Linked DNA regions of Ovis aries. The protein of the gene in region 1 binds, or shares a complex with, the protein of each later gene. Links are inferred from orthologs where the notes say so. Each region holds a gene or a part of one and is shown in the gene's direction. Other genes may lie near its edges. The genes, in order: BICD2 and BICDL1.

Region 1 (15,667 bases):
AAGAATCCAAATTAGCCAGCACCCAAAAGGTAAAACTCAGAGTGTCTGGCAGGCAAAATGTTAGCAAAATCTGACCCATAATGAGAAGAAAAAAATCAACTAATACAAATAAACTCAGAAATAATACAGTCATTAGGATTATCAGATAAGGAAATTGGAATAATTATCACAGCTGTATTTCATGTTCACTGTTCAAGAAAGATTGCACAGGTTATTAAGGATAAGGAGAATATGAAAAACACCAAAATCAAGCTACTGAAATGCAAATACAATTTCTGAAATTAAAAATACTGGATAAGAATAATAGCAGATTAGACAATGAAGAAGAAAAGATGGGTCAACTTGAAGAAACAGCAACAGAAACTATCCAAAGTGAAACACAAAGAACAAAGATTGAAAAAACTAATGAATCACCAGTGAGCTGTGGGACAAATTCAGTTAGACTAAAACAGATGTAATGGGAATCCCTGTGGGAGAAAGAGAGAAGGGGAACGTTATTGAAAAAATAACATCCCCCAATTCCCCAGATCCTAATAAAAAAAATCTAAGCTGGGGATGATTCTGCCCTTGAGGAAATATGGCAATGTCTGGAGTCATTTTGCTTGTCACAAGAGTAGAGTTATACTGGAATCTAGTGGGTAGAAGCCAGGAATACTGCTAAACATCCTATATGCATACCCAGCCTCAAACTCAGCTCTAAACATGCAAGCCCAAGAAACCAAATCAGCCCCAAGCACAAAGACAGAGAGAGAGAGAGAAGGGAAAAAAAGCTCCAAGGCATGTTATAATTGGATTGCCTCAATCTATGATAAAGAGTAATCTTAAAAGTAGCCAGAACAAAAAAGCATGTTCAGTTTAGCTCAGTTCAGTTGCTCAGTCCTGTCGACTCTTTGTGACCCCAGGAATTGCAGCACGCCAGGCCTCCCTGTCCATCACCAACTCCCGGAGTTCACTGAAACTCACGTCCATTGAGTCAGTGATGCCATCCAGCCATCTCATCCTCTATTGTCTCCTTCTCCTCCTGTCCCCAATCCCTCCCAGCATCAGAGTCTTTTCTAATGAGTCAACTCTGCACATGAGGTGGCCAAAGTACTGGAATTTCAGCTTTAGCATCAGTCCCTCCAAAGAACACCCAAGACTGATCTCCTTTAGAATGGACTGGTTGGATCTCCTTGCAGTCCAAGGGACTCTCAAGAGTTGCCTCCAACAGCACAGTTCAAAAGTATCAATTATTTTCGCTCAGCCTTCTTCATAGTCCAACTCTCACAGCCATACATGACTACTGGAAAAACCATAGCCTTGACTAGATGGACCTTTGCTGGCAAAGTAATGCCTCTGCTTTTCATTATGCTGTCTAGGTTGGTCATAACTTTTCTTCCAAGGCGTAAGCGTCTTTTAATTTCATGGCTGCAATCACCATCTGCAGTGATTTTGGAGCCCCCCAAAATAAAGTCTGACACCGTTTCTACTGTTTCTCCATCTATTTCCCATGAAGTGATGGGACCAGATGCCATGATCTTCATTTTCTAAATGGTGAGCTTTAAGCCAACTTTTTCACTCTCCTCTTGCACTTTCATCAAGAGGCTTTTTAGTTCCTTTTTACTTTCTGCCATAAGGGTGGTGTCATCTGCATATCTGAGGTCATTGATATTTCTCCCGGCAATCTTGATTCCAGCTTGTGCTTCTTTCAGCCCAGCGTTTCTCATGATGTACTCTGCATAGAAGTTAAATAATCAGGGTGACAATATACAGCCTTGATGTACTCCTTTTCCTATTTGGAACCAGTCTGTTGTTTTGTGTCTAGTTCTAACTGTTGCTTCCTGACCTGCATACAGGTTTCTCAAGAGGCATGTTATGTCACAACAACAATGATAAGAATGATAATGAACTTCTCTTCAGGAGCAATGTAAGCCAGCAATGTAAGTAGTGCAATAACATTTTAAAAGGACTGGGGTCTAAGTGTGGGGCTGTAAACCTACATATACAGAAATCTAGTCAGAAAATCTTTAGAAAACTAAGGCAAAACACTTTCTTAGACATAGTGAAGAATTCACCTTCAGTAGATTTGTAGTATAGGACATATTTTTTTAAAGTTCTTCAGGAATAAATTATACCAGATTGAAATCTGCAAGGAGAAATAGACAAATCACAAGAGATTCCAACACTCCTCTGAACAACTGAAAGGATGAGTAGGCAGAAAAATCAGGAAAGACAGAGAAGACTTGAACAAGACTTGAACAATATTATCAATGACCTAATTGCTATTGAGAAAATACTCCACCCAAGAAGAGCAGAATATGTATTTTTTTCAAGTGCACATGGAATGATTACCAAGACAGACCATATCTGGGCTATAAAACAATTTAAATTTAAAATAATTTACATAATACAAAGTATATTCTCAGACTACAACAGAATTACATTAGAAATAAATATTAGAAAGATATCTAAAAAGAAAATCACCAAATACTTTTGAAACAAGGCAGTACCTGAACCAATAGAGAAGAGAGCAGGGTACGGCCTTTAAAAGAATGACACAGGGACCTCCCTGTTTGTCCAGTGGTTAAGAATCTGCCTTCCAATGCAGGGGACATGGGCTTGATCCGTGGTCAGGGAACTAAGGTCCCATATGTCATGGGGCAACGAAGGCCACATGCCTCAACTAGAGAAACCTATGTGCCATAACTAGAGATGCCCACAAACCACAACGAAGAGTCTGCATGCTGTGATGAAAATCCTGTATGCCACAACACGAAGACCCAATGTAGCCAAATAAATATTTTTTAAAAATAAAAGAATGCTATAGCCTGAGCGTACAACATAAACTGATTAGAACCAAAAGATCCAAGATGGTGGACAAGTTGAATTCCACTAGACCTTGAGGCTCATTATATACTCATTGTGTCCACTTAAAAAATAATCACAACCTAAAAGCTGAGACATGTTTTGTTTGGTGGGAATTTTTAGGACTTCAGGCCTGGGAGACAGCATCTCAAGTAACCCTGAGAGAACTGCTCTAAGGAGGTAGGGGTGGGGTGGGGTTGAGGAGAGGGGGAGTCAGGTTATTTAGAAGTTTGCAACAAAGGACAGGTAGTCTGAACGTGGAAAGTATTTTTGTGAATTAAAGAAAACCAGATATCTCAAGTTGAGAAATGTAGCACTTTTCTATGTGTGGGAAGATGCAAGAGTCTAGGGTCACTGAAACCTTTCCTTTCGTGCGCATCTAAGCCATTTTTTCAGTCTAAGTTCCTCAGTGCTTACTGTAGGGAGTACTGCAGTCTAATGGCTGCCAGGTCACAAGTATTGTTCTCCTTCCTGAGTGCCCTCAGGGCTCAGAAGTCCACATTTGGAGGGCTGGACATCTTTCTTTACAGATACGGCAGGAAATACTCCTTCTCTCCAAAATCACTGCAGATGGTGATTGCAGCCATGGAATTAAAAGACGCTTACTCCTTGGGAGAAAAGTTATGACCAACCTAGACAGCACATTAAAAAGCAGAGACATTACCTTGTCAACAAAGGTCCGTCTCGTCAAGGCTATGGTCTTGTATGGATGGTCACGTATGGATGTGAGAGTTGGACTCTAAAGAAAACTGAGCACCGAAGAATTGATGCTTTTGAACTGTGGTGTTGGAGGAGACTCTTGAGAGTCCCTTGGACAGCAAGGAGATCCAACCAGTCCATCCTAAAGGAAATCAGTCCTGAATATTCATTGGAAGGACTGATATTAAAGCTGAAACTCCAATACTTTGGCCACGTGATGCGAAGAACTGACTTGTTTGAAAAGACCCTGATGCTGGGAAAGATTGAAGGCAGGAGGAGAAGGGGATGACAGAGGATGAGATGGTTGGATGGCATCACCGACTCGATGGACATGAGTTTGAGTGAACTCCCGGAGTTGGTGATGGACAGGGAGGCCTGGCATCCTGCAGTCCATGGGGTCGCAGAGTTGGACATGATTCAGCAACTGAACTGACTCCATCTCTCAACTGTTTATACATTAGCAAGCTAAAGAACACACACAAAGGCACCATGACAGTTCCAAGGCTGACCAGAAAGTTAAAAATAAGTGTCAAGGCCCACAACCTGGAAATACCCACCCTTTCCCCAAAATAGCTGGAACACTCTTCCCACTTATGAGCTTATGAATTTACCCACCCTACAAAAACTGATAACCCCCATACCCTGGTGCCACTCTTGCCTTCTGAGATGGCCCACACTCTGTCTCTGGAGTGTATTTCTCTCTAAATAAAATCACTTCTTATCACTTTGTCTCTCACTGAATTTTTTCTGTGATAAGATGTCAGGAACCTGAACTTCATTAAGTCTTGTGTGTGATCTCAATTAAAAAACTATGGGTTCAAGTCCCAATCTGAGTTCCACGATTTGCTGACCCCATGGGGCTCCTGGGCACAGAACATTTTGAATCCTCCACTTCTTGTAGGGAATAGACCTTCCTTCAGGTTTGAACATCTGCTAACCAGGGAAAGGATGAGATATAGAGATGAGAGAGGAGCAGCCAAGAAACAACAGTTTTGCCTTGAGCAGGTTCCTGGTTCTACCTCAAGGCAGATACACATGACAATATATTTGAGTTCTTTGAAGAACTAAAACTTCCAACAAGTAGAAGATGTTAGGATTCCAGAGGAGATCACCTGAGGCTAGATTAAAGAAAGCAGAGAAGCTCATCAAGAGATTCATGCTAGTGCTCAGAGAGGGAACTGTCAGGAAGGTAGGAGGGCAAGGCAAGTTCTGGGTCTGTCATTTGCTTAGAGATTGACAAATTGTCAAAGGTGACACTGAGGCTTTTACCCTGAGCTTTCTCATTTGTAAGTGAAGTAGCTCAGTCATGTCCTAGTCTTTGTGACCTCATGGACGGTAGCCTACCAGGCTCCACGATCCATGGGATTTTCCAGGCAAGAATACTGGAGTGGGCTGTCATTTCCTTCTCCAGGGGATCTTCCCAACCGAGGGATCGAACCCGGGTCTCCTGCATTGCAGACAGACGCTTTACCATCTGAGCTACTAGGGGAGCAAAATCCCACACCCTGGGGTGTTGGGAGCATTCAAAGAGATAATGGAGATAAAGTATCTGGCAATGCTGGAGACCCAGTTGGAGCCCAACAAGCAGTGGCCCCACCTCTTATCTTTGCCAATCCCCTATTCCACCAGCCTGACAGGCCACTTCCTGTGTACTTTCTGGGTCTCCACCTGGGTGTCACCTCTGCAGGGAATCTTCTTCTGATGCCTACCCCCCCCCCCGCCCCGATATTGTTACATATCATGACTCTTCCAGGGACAGGCACTCTGTCCCCAATAGCTGTAAGAGTCTTTGCCTGTCCCCGTCTACTGCCATCCTAAGCTTTGTTGTCAATGCCTGCACCAGATTCCCACCTTTTATTCTCTCCCTCCCTCAGGCCAGCCTCATATGAAGGTGTGGAGTTGGGTAGGGGTTTGGAGTTTGGACAGCTTGGGTCAAAGTGAAGTGAAAGTGAAGTCACTCAGTCGTGTCCAACTCTTTGTGACCCCTTGGACTGTAGCCTACCAGGCTCCTCCCTCCATGAGATTCTCCAGGCAAGAGTACTGGAGTGGGTTGCCATTTCCTTCTCCAGGGGATCTTCCCCACCCAGGGATTGAACCCGAGTAACCTCTGAGCCACCAGGGTATCAGTCTTTCATCTTATGTTAATCTCACTCAAACAAGGCTTGTTCCTCCTCACTTCTCTTCCCAATCATCTCTCCCACTTAGACTGACTGGTGAGCACAGGCCTTAGGGCTTTTCAGGACTTGGGACTCCTAAGACCAGGACAGACTGGCTGTTTGGGCATCATACTGCTACTGTGGTTGAATGCCATAAAAGTAATTTTTTAATTTCGTGAGTAAAATATGACATATTCTCCTCAGACAAATAAAACACTAAACCACTAAAAGGAATAAGGGCTCCTTAGAGAAATGGCTGATTCCAGGTCTGGGACACAGAGTATAAGATGATCCTGAAACAACTTTGCTATAATCAAAGAAAATTCTCAAAAATCATGACATGTTGAAAGGATACAGACTCAACTGAGCAGCTTCCACTAGCCAGATCTGCCACATCTGAGCATCTAAGTGAATATGGAGGATAATGGATTATAACTCATTAAGTAAAATGAGAATCCACAGATTCATACCATTAATGAATGAAATATCTTCTCTAAAGTACAAAGTTAGTAAGTCGAACAGGAATGAGGGAAATAGAATAGTTTGGTTAATACTCTAATTTCTTTAGGCAAGAAATATCAATGATAACTAGTCAGCTAAAAGTTTGAGGAGCTCATATAAGTCAATATCAAAAAACCAAACAATACGATTAAAAAATGGGCTGGAAACCTGAACAGATATTTTTTCAAGAAAGACATGTGGATGGCTAATAGGCACATGAAAAGATGCTCAACACTGTTAATTATTAGAGAAATGCAAATCAAAACCTTAATAAGCTATCATCTCACACCTGTAAGAATGGGCTTCCCAGGTGGCACTACTAGTAAAGAACCCACCTTCCAATATAGGAGAGATAAAAAATGTGGATTTAGATCCCTGGGTTAGGAAGATCCCCGGGAGGCAACCCACTCCAGTATTCTTGCCTGGAGAATCCCATGGACAGAGAAGCCTGGCAGGCTACAGGCCATAGGGTTGCAAAGAGTCGCTATCATCAAGACTACAAACAACAAATGTTGGTCAGTATATAGAGAAAAGGGAACTCTTGTAAATTGTTGGTGGGAGTGTAAATTGGTGCAGCCCCTGTGGAAAAACAGTATGGAGGTTCTTCAAAAAGCCAAAAAATAAAACGAACTAGTATATGATCCATTAATTCCACTCCTGGTTTTATATCCAAAGAAAGTGAAAACACTAACTCAAAAAGATACAATTCACCCCAATGTTCACGCCGCCGCCGCTAAGTTGCTTCAGTCGTGTCCAACTCTGTGCGACCCCATAGACGGCAGCCCACTAGGCTCCTCTGTCCCTGGGATTCTCCAGGGAAGGATACTGGAGTGGGTTGCCATTTCCTTCTACAATGCATGCATGCATACATGTTAAGTCGCTTCAGTCGTGTCTGACTCTGTGCAACCCCATGGACAGCAGCTGACCAGGCTCCTCTCTCCACGGAATTCTCTAGGCAAGAGTACTGGAGTGGGTTGCCATTTCCTTCTCCACCCAATGTTCAGAGCAGCGTTATTTACAGTAGCCAAGATATGGAAACAGCGTAAATATCTAACAACAGATAAATGGATGAAGACTATGTGGTATGAAACAGTATTGTCATTAAAAAAAAATAAATTTTGCCACCTGCAACAACATGGATAGACCTATAAGATATTATGCTAAGTGAAATGACACAAAGACAAATACTGTATAACTTTTCTGTAGAAACTAAAAAACAAAACAAACTAGTGAATATAACAACAACAAAGAAAACACTAACAGATAAAGAGAACAAACTAGTGGTTCTTGCCTGGAGAATCCCAGGGACAGAGGAGTCTGGTGGGCTGCCGTCTGTGGGGTCGCACAGAGTCGGATACGACTGATGTGACTTGGCAGCAGCAGCAGCGGTTACTAGTGCGGAAAAGGAAATGGGGAGGGGCAGGATAGGGGTAAGGGATCAAGAGATATAAACCACTATGTATAAAATAAAGCTACAATATATTGTAGAGCACAAGGAATATAGCCAATATTGTATAACTAAAATGGAGTATAATTTTTAAAAATTGTTAATCACTATTTTGTACACCTGAAACATTATAAATCAAATCCACCGCAACAAAATATTAAAAAAGCTTGAGGAGTGACGGACTATCTGTAAAGTGTAAATTGTCTTCTCAGAGGATAGTGATTACAAAGGAGTGACCAGCAGCATCTGGGCGATGGGTTTGCGAGCTTCCTGACAGAATTCTTTGAAAATTTAGCACCATCTCATGATATTCCAGCCAAAGTGCATAACCTACTCTAACCCTGGGGGATGCATCCGTGTGTAAATCTCTGGCTTGCACGCCTCAGAAAGGTCAAGGTCATGAAGACAAAGAGCAGAGTAAAGACAGCCGACTGCCGTTTGAGTGACCCAGGACCAGGTCCTGGGCTGGAACCGTGCTACAAGCACAGCGACGCTATGCTGGAGTCGAGGCCGCGTCTGTGTCGACGGTCCTGAATTGGAACACTGTAGAGCGAATGGAGATGCCTAATTCTTAGGAAACACGCACGCGGCATTTCGTATTTAGCTGGATGCAAGGCGCCTCTTCTGCTAGTGGTTTGACTACTTCTCCCACTGGATAAGGCCCGAACCAGCAGGTTACAATCCTCACCGCCACCCGTCCCGCGGTTCTCCCGACGCTCCGGGCGCTCCACCTCTGGTATATACCGGTGGGCCGCTCCACCCATCCCCTGCCCAGCGCAGTGTGTACCCTCCCCAGCGACCCACCTAAGCACCGACCCCCGCCTCCCACGCCCGGGGGCTGGCAGTGGAAAACACCAGTTTCCGGCTCCGCGACGGCGGACGCGCCGGCCAATCACCGGAGGGGGCGGGAGGGCGTGGGGAACTACGGGCCTTGTAGTCGGTGCGGCGACTGGACCACTACCCCCACAATGCTCCGCGCGGCGGCTGCGAAGGCTACGGGATTGGAAGGGGCCGCCCGGAACGGGGCCCGGGCCAATCACGGGCGGGGGAAGACGGGCGCGGGGCACGACCGGCCTTGTAGTTGCCGCGGGCGGGACTATGGCCCCCAGAGTGCCCCGCGCGACCGCGGGCTCACTGCGGCTGCGCGGCGGCGACGGCGGCGGCGGCGGTGGCGGCGGCTGCGGCCGGGTTGCCGTCGGGCGGGGCGGCGGCGGCGGCGGCGGACAGGAGTCTGGTCTGAGCCTCCGACGGAGCGAGTGGTGCGACTCGGGCCATGGCCACCATGTCCGCGCCGTCCGAGGAAGAAGAGTACGCGCGGCTCGTGATGGAGGCGCAGCCGGAGTGGCTGCGAGCGGAGGTGAAGCGGCTGTCGCACGAGCTGGCCGAGACCACGCGTGAGAAGATCCAGGCGGCCGAGTACGGGCTGGCAGTCCTCGAGGAGAAGCACCAACTCAAACTGCAGTTCGAAGAACTCGAGGTGGACTACGAGGCCATCCGCGGCGAGATGGAGCAGCTCAAGGAGGTAAGGAGAAAGGGCGGCTGGCGCCACGCCCTCCGCGCCCCCCGGCCGTTTCCGACTCCGGACCCGGATCCCTCATCCCATCGAACTGACCTCCGCGCCGACCTCAGAATCGGCCCTTGACCCGAGCCAAGAAGGCGACCCCCGAGGCAGCCGCCGACCCAGGCCAAACTGACCCCTTACCCCGAGTTAGGTCGACCACCAGCCGACTGCTAACCCCGCGCCGACCAGACCTGCACCGGGGCACCCGGAGTCAGTATTGCTTGGCCGTCCCGGAGGCGGCCCTGCGGTGGATGCCGGGCCTTGGGTGCTGTGGGCGATTTGGGTTCTAGAAACCCTGGCCTCCGCGTCAAGGGCTGCGGTGGAGCCTGGTGGTCAGCCTTTCTGCTCTTGATGGCAGGTCTCGGGCGCGGTGGGGATGGTGTCCTCTGCGGTGTTTGACTTTTCGGGTAGGGGGGATGGGGACGTGGGATGCATGCAGGTGGCCGGCTGGGAAACACCAGGCATGTGTCTCCATCATTTCTATGTACAGCATCTCCTGTCTCTGGGCGCAGCTGCCTTCAGCGGTTTCAGCGTCTTTTGTGAGCGCCGGGACACCAGGAAAGGGTCAAGTTGGGGGCTTGGCTTGCATGTGGCCATCACAGCTGGCCAGGGTATCCCACAGGCCTCCCCATGCTCGGCTCTCTGACCACCCTGATGGTTACTTCTCATGGATACAGTGTTCTGTCCACTTCCTGTCTTAGTTGCCCATCCAGGCCCTTTCCCAAAGTTGAGGGACACGTCTGTGGATTTTTTGTCACAGGTGAAGCCTTATCTCTCCTGTGCTGTTTTTACTCTGGGATGAACAGGTTGGACCACTTGGCTACCAAGAAATCTTGCAGTGGTAAAACTGGGCAGTCCTTCCCTGAAGTAGTTCTCTTAGATGATTTTAAACACCATTTCCTATCTCAGTCCTTCTTGACTCCCCAGCCTTGTTGTAGAGGTGGGGAGGGAGAAGTTGACGCTCAGGTTTGGACCCAGGTCTTTCCCCTTACTGGTGATGGGGCTCTGAGCATGAACCTTCTCCCACCGCACCATCTCACCCAGAAAGGGTTCATCTGGGATATATTTTAAAAGGCTAGAGAAGGTGTCAGATATTTAGCCTGTCAGTGTCTGTCAGCCTGTCTTCTCCTTCCCTACTTGATTCTTCCCTTGTCCAGGTGGGCTCTTGGCCCTTGGTCTTAGGATCCACCACATTTGGTGCTTCTCCAGCTGCCCACCTCCCAGCAGCCCTCTCCGTGTGGCCTCAGGCAGGTCCCTAGAGTGTTTTGAGCCTCCATGCCTCACTCGGGAGACCAGTCAGGTCCCCTTCTGATAGTGAAGGGAGTTTATGCATGAAGGTACTTAAATCTGTGCTTGGTGGAACAAGTTCCCTGTTAGTGCCTTTAGAAGACAGATAAGGGTGCCCGAGGAGGATGGTTGTGTAGCTCCTTCAACTTGAGGTCTTGTATATGTCAGCAGGTATTGATACCTCCTCCAAGCCAGCCTTATCTGGCACTAAATCTACTAGAGGGGTGATATGTGATCCCTCTGGCAAAAGCCTCATCTTACTATATGGGGCAGGGGAATGATGGAGGGAGGCTTAGGGGCCTTGAGAAAATGAAGTGGGAGCATCTTAGGTTCACCTTCTCTACACTTCAGAAGGGAGCCTGGCCTTCCCCAGCCCCTCCCCTCTATCTGTTCAGATGGAAGTCTCAGCAGAAGCTAGAGGAAGGTGCATCAGAGCCTCAGTAGGTATTGCCAGAAAGCTCTCACATCAGTTTACTCAAAGTCAGTCAGCCTCTCTAAACCTTTGTATTGTTATACTTCAAAGCATTAACGCTTATTTTAAAAAATAAAGATTTAGGGACTTCCTTGGTGGTCCAGTGGCTAAGATTCCTCTCCCTCAATGCAGGGGGCATAGGTTTGATCCCTGATCAGGGAACTAGATCCCAAATGCTGCTTCAAAAAGAGCTAGTGCAGCTAAATAAATAAAAATAATTGGAAAAAAAAATCAAGATTCAAGGAGACAATATCTATTGGATCTTTTTTAAAATTTTTTCTCCTGTAGAGAGATGAGCCATCTTCATTCTTTTTAAAGCTTTATTTCTTTAACTAAAGTGAGTTCAGTTATTAATAAGTTGTGCCACAGAGGTACCTGTATTCCTGTTTAGCATTTGTAGATAATATTGTCTTAAGGGAGGAAAGCTGACTGGCCTATCGCAGGTGACTTGGTTTGCAACCAGACCTGAAGAGTGTCCTGTGCAGGGCAGTGGTGCTGGCCCTGCAGCCTTTCTCATTTGGTAAGTGTGTGTGTGTCTATGTCCTGCTGACACCATGGTATTAGGGAGGAGGGGTACTAATGGCCCATTTTGCTAGTGATTGAGCCTGGCTTAGTAAGGGCCCTGTCTGTCCCAAGTTCTGCTGTGTCCCTTCCCCACCATGGTAAGGAAGAGAATCAGATAAAGTTTGGTCAGCCATGTGGTGTTTCTTGTCCTTAGTGGCCATGGAACATCTTGCTCTGTGTTCTCAGCTGCAGTTTGAGGAGGGCAGGGGTGCTGGGCTGACAGTTGCTGCCTGTAGGGCTCAGTTAGGTACCGGGAGTGGGTAGCTCTTTGGAATGTGAGGGCCAGTGGTGGGGGTCCTAGTGCAGACGCAGCCCCATCCTCGTTCGGCTTCCAGAGAGCAGGAAGACAAGGTCTGGACGTCCTTGCTGGCTTCTGTGCTACCTAAGGATCTTGGCTGTGCAGTATACTTACATCCCAGGGAACCCAGGGGTGGAATTTTGTGAGCTGCAACCTGTCACAGGCTGGGACTGGTGCCTGGCACACAGTAAGTGCTTACTCAGTAAGCACACACAGTAAGTGTGTGCTGGCTGGTATCTTCAGTTTCTTCCTTCCCTCTAGCTCACCCAAGCCTGGATACCCTTCCTGCTGTCCCTGTCATCGCCTTATCTCTACTCCTTGCGCGGTCTGGAGTGGCCCCACTGCGTCTCCTAGAGTGCAGCCTGAGCCTCTGGCCTGGCTCAGCCTGCACTGCTCCCCTGCTTCCTGATTGCCTTCATGGCCCTCACCATCCCTGCCTCTTCCCAGTCTTGGATCTTGGAAGTCCTGCCTGCCCTTCAAGGCCTGGATGCTTTTCAGAGCCTCCTCTGGACTTGTCTGAGCCTAGCTCTCAGGTGAGCCCACCTGGGTATCCCTCTCATCCTGTAGGCTCAGCAGCCGCATGAAGAACTGTGGCAAAGCTGATGAGAGCAGCTGCTCTGTTCTCTTTGCTTCCTCCTTCCCATCTCTCTTGTATCATAATTTCCTCTCTCAGAGGATGGGGAAACCAAGGTAGGGATGGGTGTGAGTGTCTGAGGAAGGTCCAGTAGCTCAGACCAAGTTGGAAGTGGTCCTTGGGCACCAGGTTCCTGTCCAAGTCTGTAGAAGTTCCAGCGATGAGCTGGCTCCAGAGGAGGGTGATGTGAGGGCTGTTGCCCAGGCTTCACCACTATTGGTGAGTGGCTCTAGCCTCCCTGTGCCCCACCAACTCCTGCAGTCCTCATTCTGACTTTTGGGGTCACTACCCTGTTATGTCTGTTGTACTGCTGTGGAAACTAAGGCACCAAGAAGTTGACTTTGACTCAAGACTGTGAGCCCAGGCAACCTGTCCCCAAGAGAGCGGATACCTGCGGAGGAGGGAAGGTAATGGGAATCCTCTGTGCAAGGCTCAGCCTCCTCAAGTGTTTGTCTTGGGACAGGAAAAGTCCTGATTTGGGCCAAACCCTATGAGGATCCCACTTACCTGAATCCACCCTCAAACTTGGAGCAGAGAGCCATTGGGGATTGGGAGGCTCTGGGAGTCCTTTGGGCCTCTCAGGGCCAGCTGTGTGGTAGTCTGCTGTTAGCGTGAAGAAGCCTGACTTGGGATAGAGGTTAAGTTCCAGGAAGCCCTGCAGGTGCTGAGGCGGCCCTGCTCCCAGGGATCTGATAGTTGGGAGAGGCAGCTTCCAGCATCCAAAGGCAGTGACCATGTAGCCCATTGTGTCCACGTTGCTGGGCACTCCCCACTTTCCTGCCTGTAGAGCTTGTATCTGGTGTGGCATTGTGAAGCAATCTTGAGGGCTCTTCCACTTTTGAAAACTCCAGAGACTCTCATGTCACCTGGCATTCTGTTTTCCTTCAGGCCATGGTGGGTGAGCAGCTGTGTACCACAGTGTTTTGGGGGCGTGACTCTGGACAGGTGGATGGACACACTTAGAAGGAGCTGCTTTTCCATAACTGGTGCAGGTGGGAGGCCAGGCCTGAGAGTGGCTCTGGCTGGGCAGGCGAGGAGGTGCTACATGTGCTGTCAAGGGCTGTGGTTTGCACACTCTGGCTCCAAGGGGCCGACTGGACCCTGCCTGGGCCCTCAGGAGCTATGTGGCCCCAGAGGAATGGCTCTGCCCTCAGGCCAGTGTGCCTGGGGCACTTAGGCAGGTAGTGGCTGAGGCTCCTTGTGTTTGAGCAGCTGCCTCAGAGAGGGCTGTGGCAAGGCAGACAAAGACTCCCGCTGGGCCTTCCCTGCTGAGGGAGCCCAACCCCTTCCTGTGAAGTGGGAGCTCAATTTACCCTTGTCAGCCTGGGGCAGCCACTCCTCAGTCAGACCCGCTTCTCCACATTTGTGCACTGGATAAAGGGCCGGTACACACATTGAAGGTAAAGAAAGATTTGGTTTCTTAGTGAAGTGAAAGTGGCTAGTGGGCAGAGGCTAGATGAGACCCTCCTGGGCCTCAGGCCCCATATTGTCTAATGTTTGGAGTGTGGCCCCTTGAGCTATTCCCTAGAGCCAGAAGTGCCCAGTGTGACCTTCTAGCTGCTGTCCTGGGCATCAAACCTTTTGGTTCTGGCTCTGTTCTGCCCAGGGAGGTGGGCTGACAGATGGGGCTGTAGGAGCAGGGTGAGTGCAGGGACTTGTGGCTGAATGGACAGTCCAGCGTCAGGTGGTTGATGGCATTAAGGAGGAGAAGACGGCTTTCTTCTTTAGAGAGTCAGTTCAGTTCAGTCACTCAGTCATGTCCGACTCTTTGTGACCCCATGAATCGCAGCATGCCAGGCCTCCCTGTCCATCACCAACTCCTGGAGTTCACTCAGAAAGTTATTCATTTACTTTTGCTGTTGTTCAGTCCTTCAGTTGTGACTGACTCTTTGCGACACCATGGACTCTAGCACGCCAGTCTTCCCTGTCCTTTGCTATCTTCTGGAGTTTGCTCAAACTCATGTCTATTAAGTTGGTGATGCCATCCAATCATCTCATCCTCTGTTGCCCCCTTCTCCTGCCTTCAATTTTTCCCAGCATCAAGGTCTTTTCTAGTGAGTTGGCTCTTCCCATTAGGTGGCCAAAATGGAGCTTCACCTTTAGCATTCCTCCTTCCAATGAATATTCAGGGTTGATTTCCTTTAAGATTGACTGGTTTGATCTCCTTGTTGTCTATGGGACTCTAAAGAGTCTTCTCCAGCACCATAATTTGAAAGCATCAGTTCTTCAATGCTCAGCCGTCTTTATGGTCCAACTCTCACATCCGTACATGACTACTGGAAAAACCATAGCTTTGACTAGATGGACCTTTGTTGGCAAAGTGATGTCTCTGCTTTTTAATATGCTGTCTAGGTTGGTCATAGCTTTTCTTCTAAGGAGCAAGGGTCTTCTAATTTCATGGCTGCAGTCACTGTCTGCAGTGATTTTGGAGCCCAAGAAAATAAAGTCTGTCACTGTTCTGATTTTCTCCCCGTCTATTTGCCATGAAGTGATGGGACTAGATGCCATGGTCTTAGTTTTTTGAATGTTGAGTTTTAAGTCAGCTTTTTCACTCGAAAGCATCAGTTTCACATGATACATCCTCTTTCACTTTCATCAAGATCAAAAAGAAATGAGCATGTCTCTGTAGAAATTACGGAATATGTATGGAGGACTACTGGGTATTTCTGCTTGCCAGCTTTTTCTTCCTTTATGTGTGTGTCAGATACATATGGTATTATAAAAACCAGAAAGTGCTTTGAGCATCTATAACAGTTGTTTTTAAGGAGACACAGGGTTTGGGGTTACTCTCTGAGTTGCAGAAAAGTAGGTTTCATTCAACTGGATGAAGATAATGAAGATTTTCATGGGTTTGGAAGCTGCGGTGCACGTCTAGTCTATTGTATCATGTGAAATAATGGTTGTGGTTTGAGTTCTATGGGTTTGCTTTTTGAAAGCAGTTCCCCTCCTAAAGGGTTTCCATCTTTAGGGGATGTTTTATGCACAACCAGAGCAGAGACATTGGCCTGCATGTTCTCCTACCCACTTTGGCTCCTCCAGCTTCGGCAGCCTCTATTCTGTGCCTCACTTCTTCTGTAAGTTCATTGATGTGTTGTGCTGAGAAGGTAACTTTAAAAAAAAAACAAACCCATAATCACAGATTAAGTTTTACACCTCGCAGGATTAACAGTGATTCCTTAATGTTGTCTTTTATCTGGTTGGCAT
Region 2 (14,950 bases), on another chromosome or scaffold:
ACTTTAATAAGAGAAAAAGCCATGAGAAACCATTTGACTCATTTTAGCCAATTGGTGTCCTGAAAATTTCCATCTCACTGTGATGAAAAGGATCAAACAGTGATCTAACTCAAAAATGGATTGTTGTCCATAAGAAAAGGGAAAGAACAAGGACAAATTCTAGCCTCAGATGGGGTTGTTCCTGAAAACAGGAGACAGAGCATCACCGATGAGGTCAAAGCAAGAACTGACTGGAATCACCCATTAGGCTCTTTAGTCCTTGATTTGATCATTGCAGGAAGCTTTCCTGATAGAACCGTGGATACTGACCCAGGCTATCTTGGTCACAAATTACTACTTATCTTCCTCAAGACTTGTATGTGAGGAAAGTAAATAATGGTATATTTATATACCAGTCTGCCTAGATCTGATTCTGTATCTCAGGGCCTCAGTTTCCTTCTCTGTAAAATGATAAGAGTGACAGTACTGACTTTTAAGATTCTTGTGAGGATTATCTAAGATAATGCCTATAGAGCACGAGGCATGGCACACACTAAGTGCCTAATAAACAGAAGTTATTAAGGAGGGTCTTTGCTTCGCATTCCCATTTGTGAGCATTTTTTCCCCGTTATTTCTCAACAGCACCCCTTTCTTTCGGAGCTGCTGATCTCCGAGGCTTCTAGTTTCTTATATCCCTGAGTCATCATCATTGAGACGCTGGATTTCTGAAGTCGTCCCTTCTATTGCTTTCTAGGGCTCCCTCTCCTGACTGCTTAGCTCTCGCGGGGGCTCAGACCCACAGTCCGTGGCAGCAAGTCTCCGTCGGGCTTGGCCACCCGTCTTGGAGAAACGTCCTCAGTCCCCTTTGGAGACCAACCACCTAAGACTGAGACCCATCGCACCCAGAGAAGCTCGCCAGTCCAGAGTTCCGAGAGAGGTCGAGGGCGGGGCCAGGCCTTGAGGTGAGAACGAGGCTGGGGGCGGGGCCGTTCTCGGAGGTGCGCGCGAGGCCACACCCCGAGGTGAGCGTGCCGGGGGCGGAGCCACACCGCGAGGTGGACGCGAGGCCGGGGGCGTGGCCGCGCCGAGGAGCCGCCCGGACCGTTACGGATGAGCCGGCCGTCTCCGCTGGCTGCGCACGCAGCCGCCCCCGGGCGTGAGGCAGCGCAGGGGTTAAGGCTGCCGGCGCCACCTGGGCGCCGCTGAGGAGACCCACGAACCGGCGAATCGCGCGCGGGCGCGGCGAACAGGTGCCCGTGCGCGTCAGGCGCCGGCAAGGGGCGGGGAGAGGGGGCGCGGCCGGAAGCCCGGGGCGGGGCGCGGCGCGGCCGGCCCGGTGGAACTGGAGAGAGCTGAGGCAGGCAGGAAGGAGGTCGCCGGGCCGCGCGGTGCGCGATGTGGAGCCGCCGCCTCGGCGCCTGCAGCAGCCGCCGTCGCCGCCGCTGCTGCTGCTGGGGCTGCCGCCGAGCCGAGGGACATGGAGCGCGGCTGCAGAGAGCGGCCGCCGGCAGCAGCAGCGAGCGTCGCAGCGACAGCGGAGCGCAGCCCGCCCGGTGAGGCGCTGCCCGGCCGGCGGCGGCAGCGGGAGCAGCAGCAACAGGGTGGCTGAAAACCCGGCGGCGGCGGCGGCGGCGGCGGCGAGGGCGGCTTTCCTCCCCGCAACTTCCCCTCCCGCTTCGCGTCCCCGCAGTCTTCCCTTCCTCAGCCTTCCCTTTGCCACCCCCCCTCCTCCTCCTCCCCGACGCTCGCCGAGCAGCTGAGCCCGGGGGCGGGGGGAGGGGGCGCGTGCCGCCGGCGCGGGGGAGGGGCGGGCCGGCGCGCGCCGCGCCCAGGGCTCGCGGAGACCCGAGGGGCGCGTGCCGCGGCGTGAGGCGAGGCGCGGGGCGGCGCGGCGGGGCCCCTCCCCCCTGCAGCCTGGCGCGCGCCGGCCGGGCCGCACCGCTGCGGGCTCGGCGCGCGCGGGCCATGTCCGCCTTCTGCCTGGGCTTGGCCGGCCGCGCTTCAGCACCCTCCGAGCCGGACAGCGCCTGCTGCATGGAGCTGCCCGCCGCGGCCGCGGACGCAGTCGGGAATCCAGCCACCGCCACCGCCGCTGCCCTCGTCTCCTTCCCCGGGGGCCGCGGGGAGTTGGAACTGGCGTTAGAGGAGGAGCTGGCGCTGCTGGCGGCTGGGGAACGGCCGTCCGAGCCCGGGGAGCATCCTCAGGCCGAGCCCGGGCCTCCAGCCGAGGCGGCCGGACTGCAGCCGCCGCCCGCCCAGGATCCCGAGCTGCTGTCAGTGATCCGGCAGAAGGAGAAGGATCTGGTCTTGGCGGCCCGATTGGGCAAGGCATTGCTCGAGAGGAATCAGGACATGAGCCGGCAGTACGAACAGATGCACAAGGAACTGACTGATAAGCTGGAGGTGAGGACGTCCCTCCTGGGATAGGTGGGAAGCGGGAGAGGGGGGAGCCCAGGTACCCTCCCGCCGACCCTGGGTAGCTTCGGGAGCCAGGCAGTCACCCACCTCACCCCATTCCTTGCTTATTTTGTCTTAACAGAAAGCCACCTGGGAGGTGGGTAGCATGGAGGGTTTGGGGTTATCAGACGAGGGCATTCTTTGAACACACCTGGCTTTCTTACCCTGCTCACAGCAAATGGGCCCATGCACGGCCCCAAACGCTGTGGGCCGTTCTATATATGTACTGTACACAGCATCTAAAATAGAGCTTACAGTATGACTAATTTATACAGCACTGAGGTGATGCCTGCACACAGAAATTACAGAGCCGGAAAGCATTTAAAATATGCTCCAGGTTTTCAGAGAGGTAGTTAATCGCTAATCAGGGTGTTAGCCTAAAGCTTTTTAGCTTTGGAGTTAAGGGCTTCCACATGCCCTTGTCTTAACTTCCCCTCAGCTCAGAATGGTGGGAAACAAGTGCCCCTAAAGGAGCTTTATATAGCCTTCAGATACGGATTAGGAAATATGGTTCCACTGCAGAAATCAGGTGAGCCTGGGCTCAACATGTGACGGTTGTGATTTGATGTGGACTTCAGTATATATATGTATTTAAACAGTATATGTATTTAAACAGTACTTTTGTTTCTGTTCTGGGTCTCACACACGCATTTGGATGGCCAAATGCAACTTGTGAGAACCATATAACTTTAACCATTGTTATAAATACCCCTTAAAATATCTGTAAGATTCTGCCAATTCTCTGGACCAAAGTCTTTTGCTTCTGTTTTCTTGCCCTTAACTAGAAAAGGGCCTTGAAACTAATACAAGTGGCCACCACTTCTAAAAAAGTTTTTAGAGAGAGTCTTTTTTTCTTAAGTGAAGATGGGGAGGTGCATCTGTGGCAGTGGCGATGAGCTTATCTTTTTCTGTCTATGCATTTAATATTGTCTCCCAGTTTGGTGGCAATGAGTTCTTTTTATTCTTGTTACAAGAGAATAGTACAGCCCTGAATACGGTTTGAAATTGACCATTGCCTGGTTCCATATCACTGCTACTGGGCAAATGGTCAGAGTGTAGATTCAGAAATTTTTCTCTAGTAAGTATGTCTGTAGTCCAACAACATATCAAAAATAAATAAGAGAGGGAAAAAAAAGGAAACCAGTGAGTGCCCTGTAGTTCAGTTGGCCTGTTAACTAGGTCTGCCAGTCGGTGAACTCCTGAGATACCTCTCTGAAAAGTGGTTTGTGAAACCTGTTTGTAGATTGCCAAAAAGCAACCCAATGAATTGAATTGTTTGATTTTCACTTGAAGTAGACGTCTCAGACTAAAAGGGTGTCTTTTTTTTGAAAAAGAGATTAGATTACAGACTCTAAATAGAAGTACTACTGCAGAGATGTATGCTTGTGATTTGAAATCCCTTCAGTGAGAGACTTGATTAAAGAGACAGCTGTCTTGAACATCATATCAGTTGGTTTGATGAGTGATAGTTTTCAAGGGTAATCCTAAATATGTAGTTAAACACATCCTGGGTTCCACTTGGAATCTTTATACATGTCTTCACCAAAGGAAAAAGATTTTCAAATTCTGTAACAAGAAAGGTTATACTGTAGAAGAATAAATTACATTTGACTTTTTGCTATTGACTTGATAGATGATATTAAAATAGTTTAAAACTCTTATTAAACTATTTTAAAAAATCTTCACTCCTCTCAGGTCAGCATATGAACTCAAGTGTTAAAGGTTTATTTTTAATTTCTGGAAGTTGGTTGCACAACGGTATGAATGGACTCAGGGCTACTGAACTAACGGTACACTTAAAAATGGATAAGGTGATAAATTTTATGTTATGTATGCTATGATCTAAGGCACTAACTTACATTTATATACTTTTTTCTTCAGAGATTTAATCTTTATTTAGTTTTTTAAAAATATGTTTTTAAAGCCCAGGATTCTCTTTTTCCCCCATTCCAGGTAAGAGTGAATTCTCTCTTAATGCAGAGGGAGTCTCTTCCCTAGGTTACATTTTCTTCCCTCTTCCTAGTCCAATTCTAATGATTCTAGCACTATTTTTTTTTAAGAGGCAAAAAAAAAAAAAAAAATGATGGGACTTCCCTGGTGGCCCAGTGATTAAGAATCTGCCAGTGCAGGGGTCCGGGTTTGATACTTGGTTGGGGAAGTTCCGCATACTGTTCAATATGGCCAAAAAAAGAGAATAAATGTTCTTGTTAAACTTTTTTGTTAAAAAAAAGTAAGGTGAAAATGATTACATAATTGGGTAGTAGATTTAGGTAAGCAAATGCAGGAGTCCTTATTTGCATTCAGTGCTTGATCCACTTAAATAGTATTTTTTTTTCTTTGTATTTTTCAAGAACCATATGCTGGACTTAGGAGAATAATATGCTGTTTTGGTTCATGGCAGAAGTCCATTTCTGTAACAACCAATTTTAGGTGAGCTAGTGATACTAACTTCTTAGAGTTTTAAATAAACTGTTTTTAGAATGGTTTTAGATTTACAGAAAAATTGAAAAGATGGGACAGAGTTTCCATATGCCCTGCCCCCAGTACTTGCCATAATTAGTAAATCAATACTAATACATTATTATTAGCTATGAGGCTTTCTTGGTGGCTCAGATGGTGAGGACTCTGCCTGCAGTACAGGAAACCCGGGTTCCATCCCTGGGTCAGGAAGATCCCCTGGAGAAGGGAATGGCTACCCAGCCCAGTATTCTTGCCTGGAGAATTCCATGGACACAGGAGCCTGGCAGGCTACAATCCCTGGGCTTGCAAAGAGTCCAACACGACTGAGCAACTAACGCTTTAACTTTTTCATTTAGTTTAATTAGATTTCTTTCGGCTTCTCTTGCGGCTCAGCTGGTAAAGAATCTGCCTTCAATGCGGGAGACTTGGGTTCGATCCCTGGGTTGGGAAGATCCCCTGGAGAAGGGAAAGTATTCTGGCCTAGAGAATTCCATGGACTTTATAGTCCATGGCAACGCAAAGAGTCAGACATGACTTAGCATGTAGATTTCTTTAGCCTTTGCCAAATGTCTTGTTCTGTTTCATGATACCCTTACATTTAGTTTCTGTATCTTCTTAGTCTCTTTTTTCCTGTATCAGTTTCTTAGACTTCTCTTGTTTTTGATGACCTTGACAGTTTTGACATTAACTTTTTTCAATTTCTTATTGAGGTATAATTGACATACAGCATTATATTAGTTTCAGGTGTAGATATTACCTTTTGAAGTACAGTGTAACCCCAAGAAGCAGGGAATAGCATGGACAGAGCCTGACTGCTACACTTTCTGATATTCTTCCTAGAGTTTATTGGTTAATTTAGCACTTCATTGAAAATGTAATTCTAGGAGAAACCTTTCTTTTCTCAGAATAGACAGAAGGCTAAGTTCTGTATGTTCATTAATAGGAAAGTCTTGATTTTTTTTCCCAGAGTGTTGGGAAACCTGGAAGGAAGAAATGTAAGGACAGAATAGATTGATCAGCGCCACTTGTCCTCAACCCTGCCTCACTTCCTGCATGTGGATTAGATTGTTTTAGTCGCTTAGTTGGGCTGTTCACTAACAGCTGTTTGTGGAGTATTTTTAAGTCTCTCTGTTCTTTTAGAACACAAGCCTAATTTATCTGGCCTCTCAGTAATACTGTGATTACTGAGTTCTTGCTGTTGCCTTCTGCTCAGTCTTTTCCATTTTGGAAAAACTCAATAAAACCAAGTATCACAATTTTAGAATTGTAATTACCACTTACTTCTGCATCTCATCTTTCTGAAGTTTGTGTAGTGACTAAAACATCCTCATTTTTGGAAGTTTAGCAAAATGAAGGAAGCATAGAACAGAAGATTTTCATGCTGAGAAGTGTAAGTCCCTCTCTTGAGAGAAAAATCTTTTTTTAGGCACATCTCAGATGTGGAATAATGAGACTGATTTTCTTGTATAACTATACACTGCCCCTTAAGGCTTTCCAAAAGAGGTATCCTAAAAAATATTTGAAAGGTGAGAACTTGGATAGAATAAGAGTGTAGATTCACAAGGTGAATCTGAGTACGCTGAAGGAGAAGATGCAATTGCTCATCTTAGCTTGTTGAAACAATCTCAGTGCTTGATAGTCAGCCTTTAGTGCATCAGAATTTCCAATAGAACCTAAATAGATGAATGGGTAGATAGACAGATGCCTTCCTAGGCCTCATCCCATTCTTTACTGAATCATAGTCTGGAATTAGTGTTTAAGATATATTTTGAACAATTATACCAGAGATTTTCTGACAGCAAAAGTTGAGGACCATTGCTTTACTTCTCATATGCATCTCATTTACTCTGAGGTATTTACTTGGTTTTTTGGTGCTTGCTATGCTTTTTTTATTGTTTATTTTTTAAAAAATCTATTTATTTGGCTGCCTTGGGCCTTAGCTGCTGCAGGTGGGATCTTTTGTTGTGTTGTGCTGCATGGACTCCCTAGTTGTGGCACATGGGCTCTCTAGTTGTGGGACAGGTCAGTCAGTGTGTCATGGAGGCTTAGTCGTTCCATTCTGAGGCCTGTGGGATCTTAGTTCCTGGACTAGGGATCGAACCCACATCAGCCTGTATTGCAAGGTGGATTCTTAACCACTGGACCACCAGTGAAGTCCTCATACCATGCTTTTTAAGTAGGAGAACATACTTGCCTCTGAAAAGAGGCATTCGTATTTATCTTAGAGAAACAAAAAGATGTTCTTATTTCCTTCAACCCAAAAAGAGTTCTTCTCTGTTGTTGCTCCTTCAAACCATCTGTACTTTTCCTGTATACCATTTGTCACACTGTACAACATAATACTTTCATCAACCTCTCACTAGAGTGGAAACCCCATAAATGGAAAGACCAAGTCTCTTTTGCTCAACATTATTTCAGTGACTAACCTATAACAGGCACTCAGGAATGAATGAATCAGAAATAAATTTGCAAGGATTGTAGGCCATGATTTAATAAAAGTAGGCCTGAACTTGCTTAATGATTTCAAAATGCAGTGCTATATAGAGCAGCAAATATTTATTGAGTTGTGATTTTGAGCATTAAACAGTCAAGTGAGAGAGACCCCAATCCCAGCTCCCAAACGGGAGCATTTGCTAGAACAGACCTTAAGCTGGTTGCAGAATCTCTTCTGTGGCTTCATTTTAAGAAGTGGTTGATCTGGAGGATCTCTGAAGTCCTTTCTGTCTCTGAAAATTCTAAGTGCCTGGTATTATGCCAAGCATAACAGATGACAGCAAAAGAAACTTTCTCAAGGGCTTGTTTTAAGTTGCTTAAATGTATATTTCACTGATTAATAGATGACTTACTAAATTTCAGGTGAGTTCCTAAATCTAGAACCCCGATGCCCAAGGACAGGAATAAACATAATAACATTAAGTATTTCAGTAGGAATGGCGTTCTCTTTGTGAAGTTAGCCTTCCCTACTCTGGCTGAAAGGGATATTTTTGCAGCTGTGAAATGGGCAACTTGTCCTACGTGGCAGAGTGTTTTGTTGTGCTGACTGACTAGGAAAAAGAAAAGTTAGAAGAGTGTGAAAAGAGAAAAAAAATTAACGACTCTGGAATTTTTTAGCAGTTTAAAAATCCTCTTCATTTTCACCCAGCACTTAGAACAAGAGAAGCACGAACTAAGAAGACGATTTGAGAACCGAGAAGGCGAGTGGGAAGGGCGTGTGTCTGAGCTGGAAAGTGATGTGAAGCAGCTTCAGGATGAGCTGGAGAGGCAGCAGGTTCATCTACGGGAAGCAGATCGAGAGAAAACACGGGCCGTCCAGGAGTTATCAGAACAGAACCAAAGGTTATTGGACCAACTCAGCAGGGTGAGTCACGAGTTAAAAACTTATGGTATTAGAAAAAAAGAATTTGTGGTATAAAATACTAAAAGTTGAAACAGAGCTTCTGTTTAATGTCATCATATATATGGTAAGAGTAGTTCTCCTTTTTGTTGCCTTTGGTATTGATACCGGTAAGTCAAGTGTTTTTCACCTCTGAGAATTTCAACTGGGGTGAACTAGACGCCAGGAGCAAAGACCCTTGCTTGTCACAGGCCAACTGTGAGCTTTTGGCAATCATTTAACTTGGGAGTCTATCTCATTAATGATTTGATGTTCCTTATAGCTCTACAAGTCTGTGATTCTTTTACCTAGAGAAAGTCTGCCACTGGTAAAATTATATTAATGCATTTAGTTCGGATATTAAATGGTGCCATCTTTAAAAAATAATAAATTTGCCATTTTTCTTTTCTTTCTTTTAAAATTAATTAATTGATCTATGTTTGGCTTCCCTGGGTCTCGGTTGCTGTGCTTGGACTTTCTCCAGTCTCAGCGAGCAGGGGCTACCCTCTAGCTGCAGTGTGCAGGTTTCTCTTGTGGAGCACAGGCTCTAGGTGCCCAGGCTTCAGTAGTTGCGACCCATGGGCTCAGTAGCCATGACATTTGGGCTTAGTTGCTCCATGGCGTGTGTGATCTTCTGGACCAGGGATGGAACCCGTGTACTCTGAATTGGCAGGTGGATTCTTAACCACTGGGCCACCAGGAAGGTCCAAATGGTGCCATCTTTAAACTGAAAAGCTTAGGGAAAATTTCTAGAGCAAATGATTTTCACTGTGAATGTACATTTCTTATTATTTAAATATGAAAGGAGGTATGTGTAGCTGTATATATAAAACGTGTTCTCTTTATTTCTACATTAAGTAGAAGTTCTTTATTTGTACCTTTATAGTGTGGTGTCATAGAAGTATTAATTAATCAAAGTCAAGATTGTAAAATCAATGCAAAGAAGGAGTATGAGAGCTGAGTAGGTGGAAATCTAACTTAAATACGAGCACACCTTTTAACAAATACAGGAATGTTGTTAATGCCCTGGTCTCTAAAGACTTACTTTTGAAAATTAAGAGCTGGATTTACTTTTATACCTCGTGCCTTCTTATGTATTGAAAATAAAACGAGTTCAGTTACTTGTTTTAGAGGAAAAAAGAACTTCTACTCTGATCGCATCCCTAAGCACAGATGCTCTTAGGAGAGCACTGCCCTTGTCCGCATGCTTAGTGTTTGGTGCTTAGGCCTCTGGGAAAGGCTCAGCTAGAGCAGCATGTGAAGTTATTTCACTAGGTTGTATCTTAGTTGCTTCTCATGGGGACCTTGTGCTGTGCTTAGTCGCTCAGTCGTGTCCAACTCTTCGAAACCCCATGGGCTGTATCCCACCAGGCTCCTCTGTTCATGGGGATTCTCCAGGCAAGAATACTGTAAGGTTGCCATGCCCTCCTCCAGGTGCATGGGGACCCTGAGACTGGTCTAAACCTCGTGCCTCACCAGGAAGTACAAAGTAAATGCTACCACTAGAGAAAGGGAGAGGAAGGAGGAGAGGCAACAGGAGGAGAGGATGGAACCAAGGGCGCCAGGGGCTAGAGAGGGCAGGGGAGAGACCGAAGCGGAGAGATGGCAAAAGCTTGGGAAAGAGCGAGTCACAGGAGCTCTCAGAATGTATGGGAAGGTGAGAGTTCAGGTGGTGGTGGAGCTGCCTGCAAGCTTCTCGCTGGGGAATCAGACTGCCATTTGATTGTCTGGAAAGGAAGGGCTTGACAGTTCTTCAGGAAGTCATTATAGGGCCAGCTCAGGAGCCTTTCAGAGTCAGTTCTAAAACCTTTTTCAGCAACTGGGAAGGGAATCTCTGTCCTTTTAAGATTTTATAGGTTTTTGAGACTTCATCCATCATTCATGAGAAAATTTTTCAAATCATTGATTTGTGCCTGTGCTGGGTCTTCGCTGCCGCATGGGCTTTCCCTAGTTGTGGCGAGCAGGGGCTACTCTCCACTTGCAGTGGTCGGGCTTCTCACCGTGGTGGCTTAGGGCGTGCAGACTGTAGTTGTTACGGCGTGAAGACTTGGTTGCTCTGCAGCATGTGTGATCTTGGTTCTTGAACCAGGAATTGAACCAGTGTTCCCGGCATTGGCCAGGACCCCTGGACAACCAGGGAAGTCCTTTCATTAAAGATTGACCAGGTCAACCTGGCCAGATTGATTTATTTGTTCAAAAACATTTAATACTTATTCTGAATTAATGTTTCTTATGGAGACTTATGAAAGGAATACAACAAACCAGAACAATTTAAGAGGAAATTATTTATTGGGAGCTGAGTTCATGTTACAAAGTGACATGAGCAGAAGCCGCCTCAACTCTGCTTTTTGATCCGGTGAAAGATAGGTGGTGGGAGAAAGCAAGTTAGAATTCGGATGCGTGTTGAATCTTGACTCTGCTTCTTTACTGGGTGACCTTGTTTATTACTTCCTCTCCTTATCTTTGAAATGGGGGTAAAAAGTTGTGTCTAATGCAAGTGCTGTTGAAATCGAAATGAGATAATATGTTTAGGTTAAGCAGAATATGAAGTTCAAGAATTTGTTTTGGTGCTGATGGTTATTTTACTAAGGTAGTATTTTTATAGTTGAGACTCCTCTGCCTAATTTTTCCATAGACAATTCTGATACGTGGTTCCCAGAAGAATATGGGAGGATAGCATTTCCACTAGATCTAGATTCTTGTTGTCTTCTCTGGCCTTGAATGTAGGCCCTTGGTGAGTTTTGTGGCTTTTTTCTTTTCTCTCTTTAAGCAGGCCAAGCCCCTTGGGTTTCCATCAGCAGCCAGTTTAGATTGCATTTTATTATCATTTTATTAACTGAGTATTCAGGAACTAGAGGAGTGGAGTAGTTTGAAGTGAATTAAGATTCTTTTAGAACAAGTTAACAACCGGCAAAAGTAGTAGTAGGCCATGCTTTTCTTACAGAGTGAATAATGTGTTTTTATTAGCATGAAATGTATGGTATCTAAAATGTGTTGATATTTCCGTGATGCTTTGTCCAGAGTATTGTTTTTGTTGAAGTATAGCTGATTGATTCTTCCAAAGTATTTTAAAATGTATTTCCTTCGCTGCCATGGCCTCCATGGTTTTTCTTAATGTTTGTTTGTTGAGATAGGATTCATATACCATAATATGTGCTTTTTAACAGTACAATTTCACCATCACCACTATCTAATTATAGAACATCTCACACCTCTCAAAGGAAGCCTGTGCCCATTAGCAGTTATTCCTCACTCCTCCTGATCCCCATCCCACACCCTGACACCTGAAAACCATTAATCTACTTTTTATCTCGATGGGTTTGTCTATTCTAGACATTTCATGTAAATAGAATCATACATATGTGGCCTTCTGTGGCTGACTTCTTTCCCTTAGTATAATGTTTTCAAGGTACACCCACACTGTAGTGTGTATCAAAACCTCATTTTTATGGTTGAAGAATATTCCATTGCATGGATACAACGTATTTTGTTTATTGATTCATTAATAAATGGACATTTGGGTTGTTTCCACTTTTTAGCTTTTATAAATAAGGCTGCCATAAACATTCATATTCAGGTGTTTGTATGACCAAGATTCTTTTCAGCTCTAAAATAGAATGCTATGATATATATCTCATAAGCTTTTGGCCACGTTATGATGATGGAAGGGATGGGAATTGTCCTAATTTTATAGCTGAGAAAAACTGGAGGGACCAAAAGATATGTGGCTTACTTAAGGCTCTTCCGGTTTAAGACTGATGAGGGTTCCTTTGCCTCAGTTTCAAATTTCTGAAGTAGCAATCAAGGTCACAGGCTTTGGAGCCCAGACAGCCCTGGGACCAGATACCAACTATGCTATTTACTAGCTTGGTGAGTATGGGAAAGTTTTTCCACTTTTTAAAATCTTAGTTTTGTCCTCTGTATAATGGAAACAGTAGTATTATTACTATTTTCTGATGTTATGAGGACGGAATGAGGTAATGTATGTACACTCTAACTATGATGTCTAGCATATAGTGAGTGCTCAATAAAGGGTAACCATCATATCCTCATCATGAAGATGAGATTTCTGCGTCTAGTCCAATGTTGATTCTCTAATTTGAGAGGATGGAAGAATCTGAAGTTTCCCCAGAACTTATCAGCATGTTAAAACTGTTTTGTCTACTAGTCAAATCTCTTTTCAAAAATATTTGTGTAAAATTGACCCTCCTGGGAGTCGAGTTAGGTTTATCCTGTAGCACTTAGTATCGACATTGCTGCGTATATCCTAAGGATACCTTTGTTGTTGTTCAGTCAGTAAGTCATGTCTGATTCTTTGTGACCCTTTCATGGACTGTAGCCCACCAGGCTCCTCTGTCATGGGATTTCCCAGGCAGGAATACTGGAGTGGGTTGCCATTCCTTTTCTAGGGGATCTTCCCAATCCAGAGATTGAACCTGTGTCTCCTGCATTGTAGGTGGATTCTTTACCACTGAGCCACCTGGGAAGCCTTTGTTTCTTCTTTGTAGAAATGTCTAGTTAGGTCTGCTCCCCATTTTTCAGTTGGGTTGTTTGTTTTTTTGTCGTTGAGTTGTATAAGCTATTTGTATATTTTGGAAATTAAGCCCCTGTTGGTCACATCATTTGCAAATATTTTCCCCCATTCTATAGGCTGCCTTTTCATTTTCTCTATGGTATGTGTCCATTGCTGTGCAGATTTTTTGTTTTTATTTCCGTTGCCTTGTGAGACTGACCTAAGAAAACATTGGTATAATTTATGTGAGAGAATGTTTGGCCTATGATCTCTTATAGGAGTTTTATGGTGTCATGTCTTATGTTTTGTGTATGTTGAGAGGATATGTTGTAACTTCAGTGATTTACCGGCAAGTGGCCAGCTTTCCCAACACCACTTGCTGAAGAGACTGTTTTTTTCCATTCTATATTCTTGCCTTGTTTGTCGAAGATTAATTGACGGTAGGTATGTGGGTTTATTTCTGGGCTGTACCACATCTTCTTTATCCATTCATCTGCTGATGGACATTTAAGCTGCTTCCATGTCTTGGCTATTGTGAACAAGGCTGCTGTGAACATAAAGGTGCATTATCCTTTTGAATTAAACAGTTTTGTCCGGATATATGTCCAAGAGTCGGATTGTTAATTCTAGTTTTAAGGAACTTCCACAGTGTTTTCCTTAGCAGCTGCACCAGTTTACATTCCCACCAGTGGTGTCGAAGGTTCCCTTTTCTCCACACCTTCTCCAGCCTAGGAATAAATGGAAAGCAGGCTGATGTGACTGTGGTGCCGTTGGCTTAGGAAGATGAGGTCAAAGGGGAGTAGTCAGTGGCCAGATGATGTAGGCCCTTTCCTGCCATGAGACAGATTTGGGGTTTTATTCAGTGTGCTGCGAAGCCAGTGATCTGCTTTTGGCAGAGGAGTATCAAGACCTGATCGATAACTATTTTAAAATTTTACTCTAGCTACCGTGGGAGAACGGATTATAGGGGCCAGCAGCAGAAGCTTAGAGGTCAGGAAAGAAGCCACTCTCCAGTGGAGAGTTGATGGTCACTTTGGTTATAGAGGTGATGAGAAGGGTTAGATGGGGTGTATGTTTAGAAGGTAGAACCAGCCAAGAGTTTTGAATGGAACGGATGGATGTGAGAAAGGGAGTTAAGAAAAGAAATAAAAAATGACTCCTGGATTTTCGTCTTGGGCTCCCTAGGGAATGGTGGCATCACTAAATTGAGAGACCAAAGGCTAGAGGAAAGGTTGGAATATAAAATCAAATAATTACTGTTGGATGAAGTTTGAGCTACCCTTTGAATATCCATGTTGGTTTCATATAAGTAGAACAGTGAGAATTCTGTTGTATTGAGGTGAAATATTGCATTAAATTTCCCACAGTCATCTGAGCACTCACAGGGCCTGAGGCTCTGTTTTATAGTGCCTTCTGTTGACTGTCCCCAAGAAGTTATTCAGAGTGACTGAAGCTGTATTCAGATGAGTTCTCATCCCATCTAGCCCTGACTTCTACCCTCCATGACCCCCCTCTTCTCGTTTGTCCCCCACACTCTCAGCCGCTAGGAGAACCCCTCTTCTGAGTTGGTGTCTGTGGCATGACATGAGTAGGAGGAAGTTGGTGCAAACAGGTGCTTTGTCTGTCTGCTGCCTATTCTAAGCTGTATTCCTCAGTCTGCCTCTAATGTGTTATCCGCACACAAAGAAGGTAGGCTGCACAGTAGCTGGAGCTAATCTTCCTGAAAAGAGTAATTTTCCCCTGAAGAGTAAACAGATCCCTGTCGTTTAAACAGCTCATTTGGGATTAGCAGCTCTGCATCCGTGTACTTTTTGAAGCAAATTTCTCCCAGGTTTCTTTCTCAAAATCGTGACTGTTGTGGCTCTGCCTGGTGACACACAACCATCCTTGTTTCTAGAACACTTTACAGTGAACACTTTACAGATGAACAGGTGCTCATCAAAAGTAGTTTTAATTATTGAATGGGCTTTTGGGAGTAGGGGCCTGTATTTCACTTGTCTTCTCCTTAGAGTCTGTTTCATTTACCAGTTTTGTGTTGTATAAAAAAAAGACATGGCAGTTTTTAGTCAGCTTATCCATGAAAGAAGTTTTGAAGACAAAATTATTTCCCAACCAGACAACAGTAATTCAGACTTCCAAAAGGACACATATGGGACCTCCTCAGATAT

What was found.
Region 2: BICD2 (region 1) and BICDL1 share a complex: the UniProt entries of both Homo sapiens proteins name them as parts of the tripartite complex. The link is inferred for Ovis aries from reciprocal best matches to the Homo sapiens genes BICD2 and BICDL1.

Annotation. Positions count from the first base shown.
Region 1 is NC_056055.1:28,583,003-28,598,669, forward strand, and holds the start of BICD2 (protein bicaudal D homolog 2), read left to right. Parts: upstream 1-8,774; 5' UTR 8,775-8,920; coding exon 8,921-9,169; intron 9,170-15,667. UniProt on the Homo sapiens protein: Acts as an adapter protein linking the dynein motor complex to various cargos and converts dynein from a non-processive to a highly processive motor in the presence of dynactin.
Region 2 is NC_056070.1:62,530,568-62,545,517, forward strand, and holds the start of BICDL1 (BICD family-like cargo adapter 1), read left to right. Parts: upstream 1-1,888; 5' UTR 1,889-1,944; coding exon 1,945-2,382; intron 2,383-8,038; coding exon 8,039-8,254; intron 8,255-14,950. UniProt on the Homo sapiens protein: Acts as an adapter protein linking the dynein motor complex to various cargos and converts dynein from a non-processive to a highly processive motor in the presence of dynactin.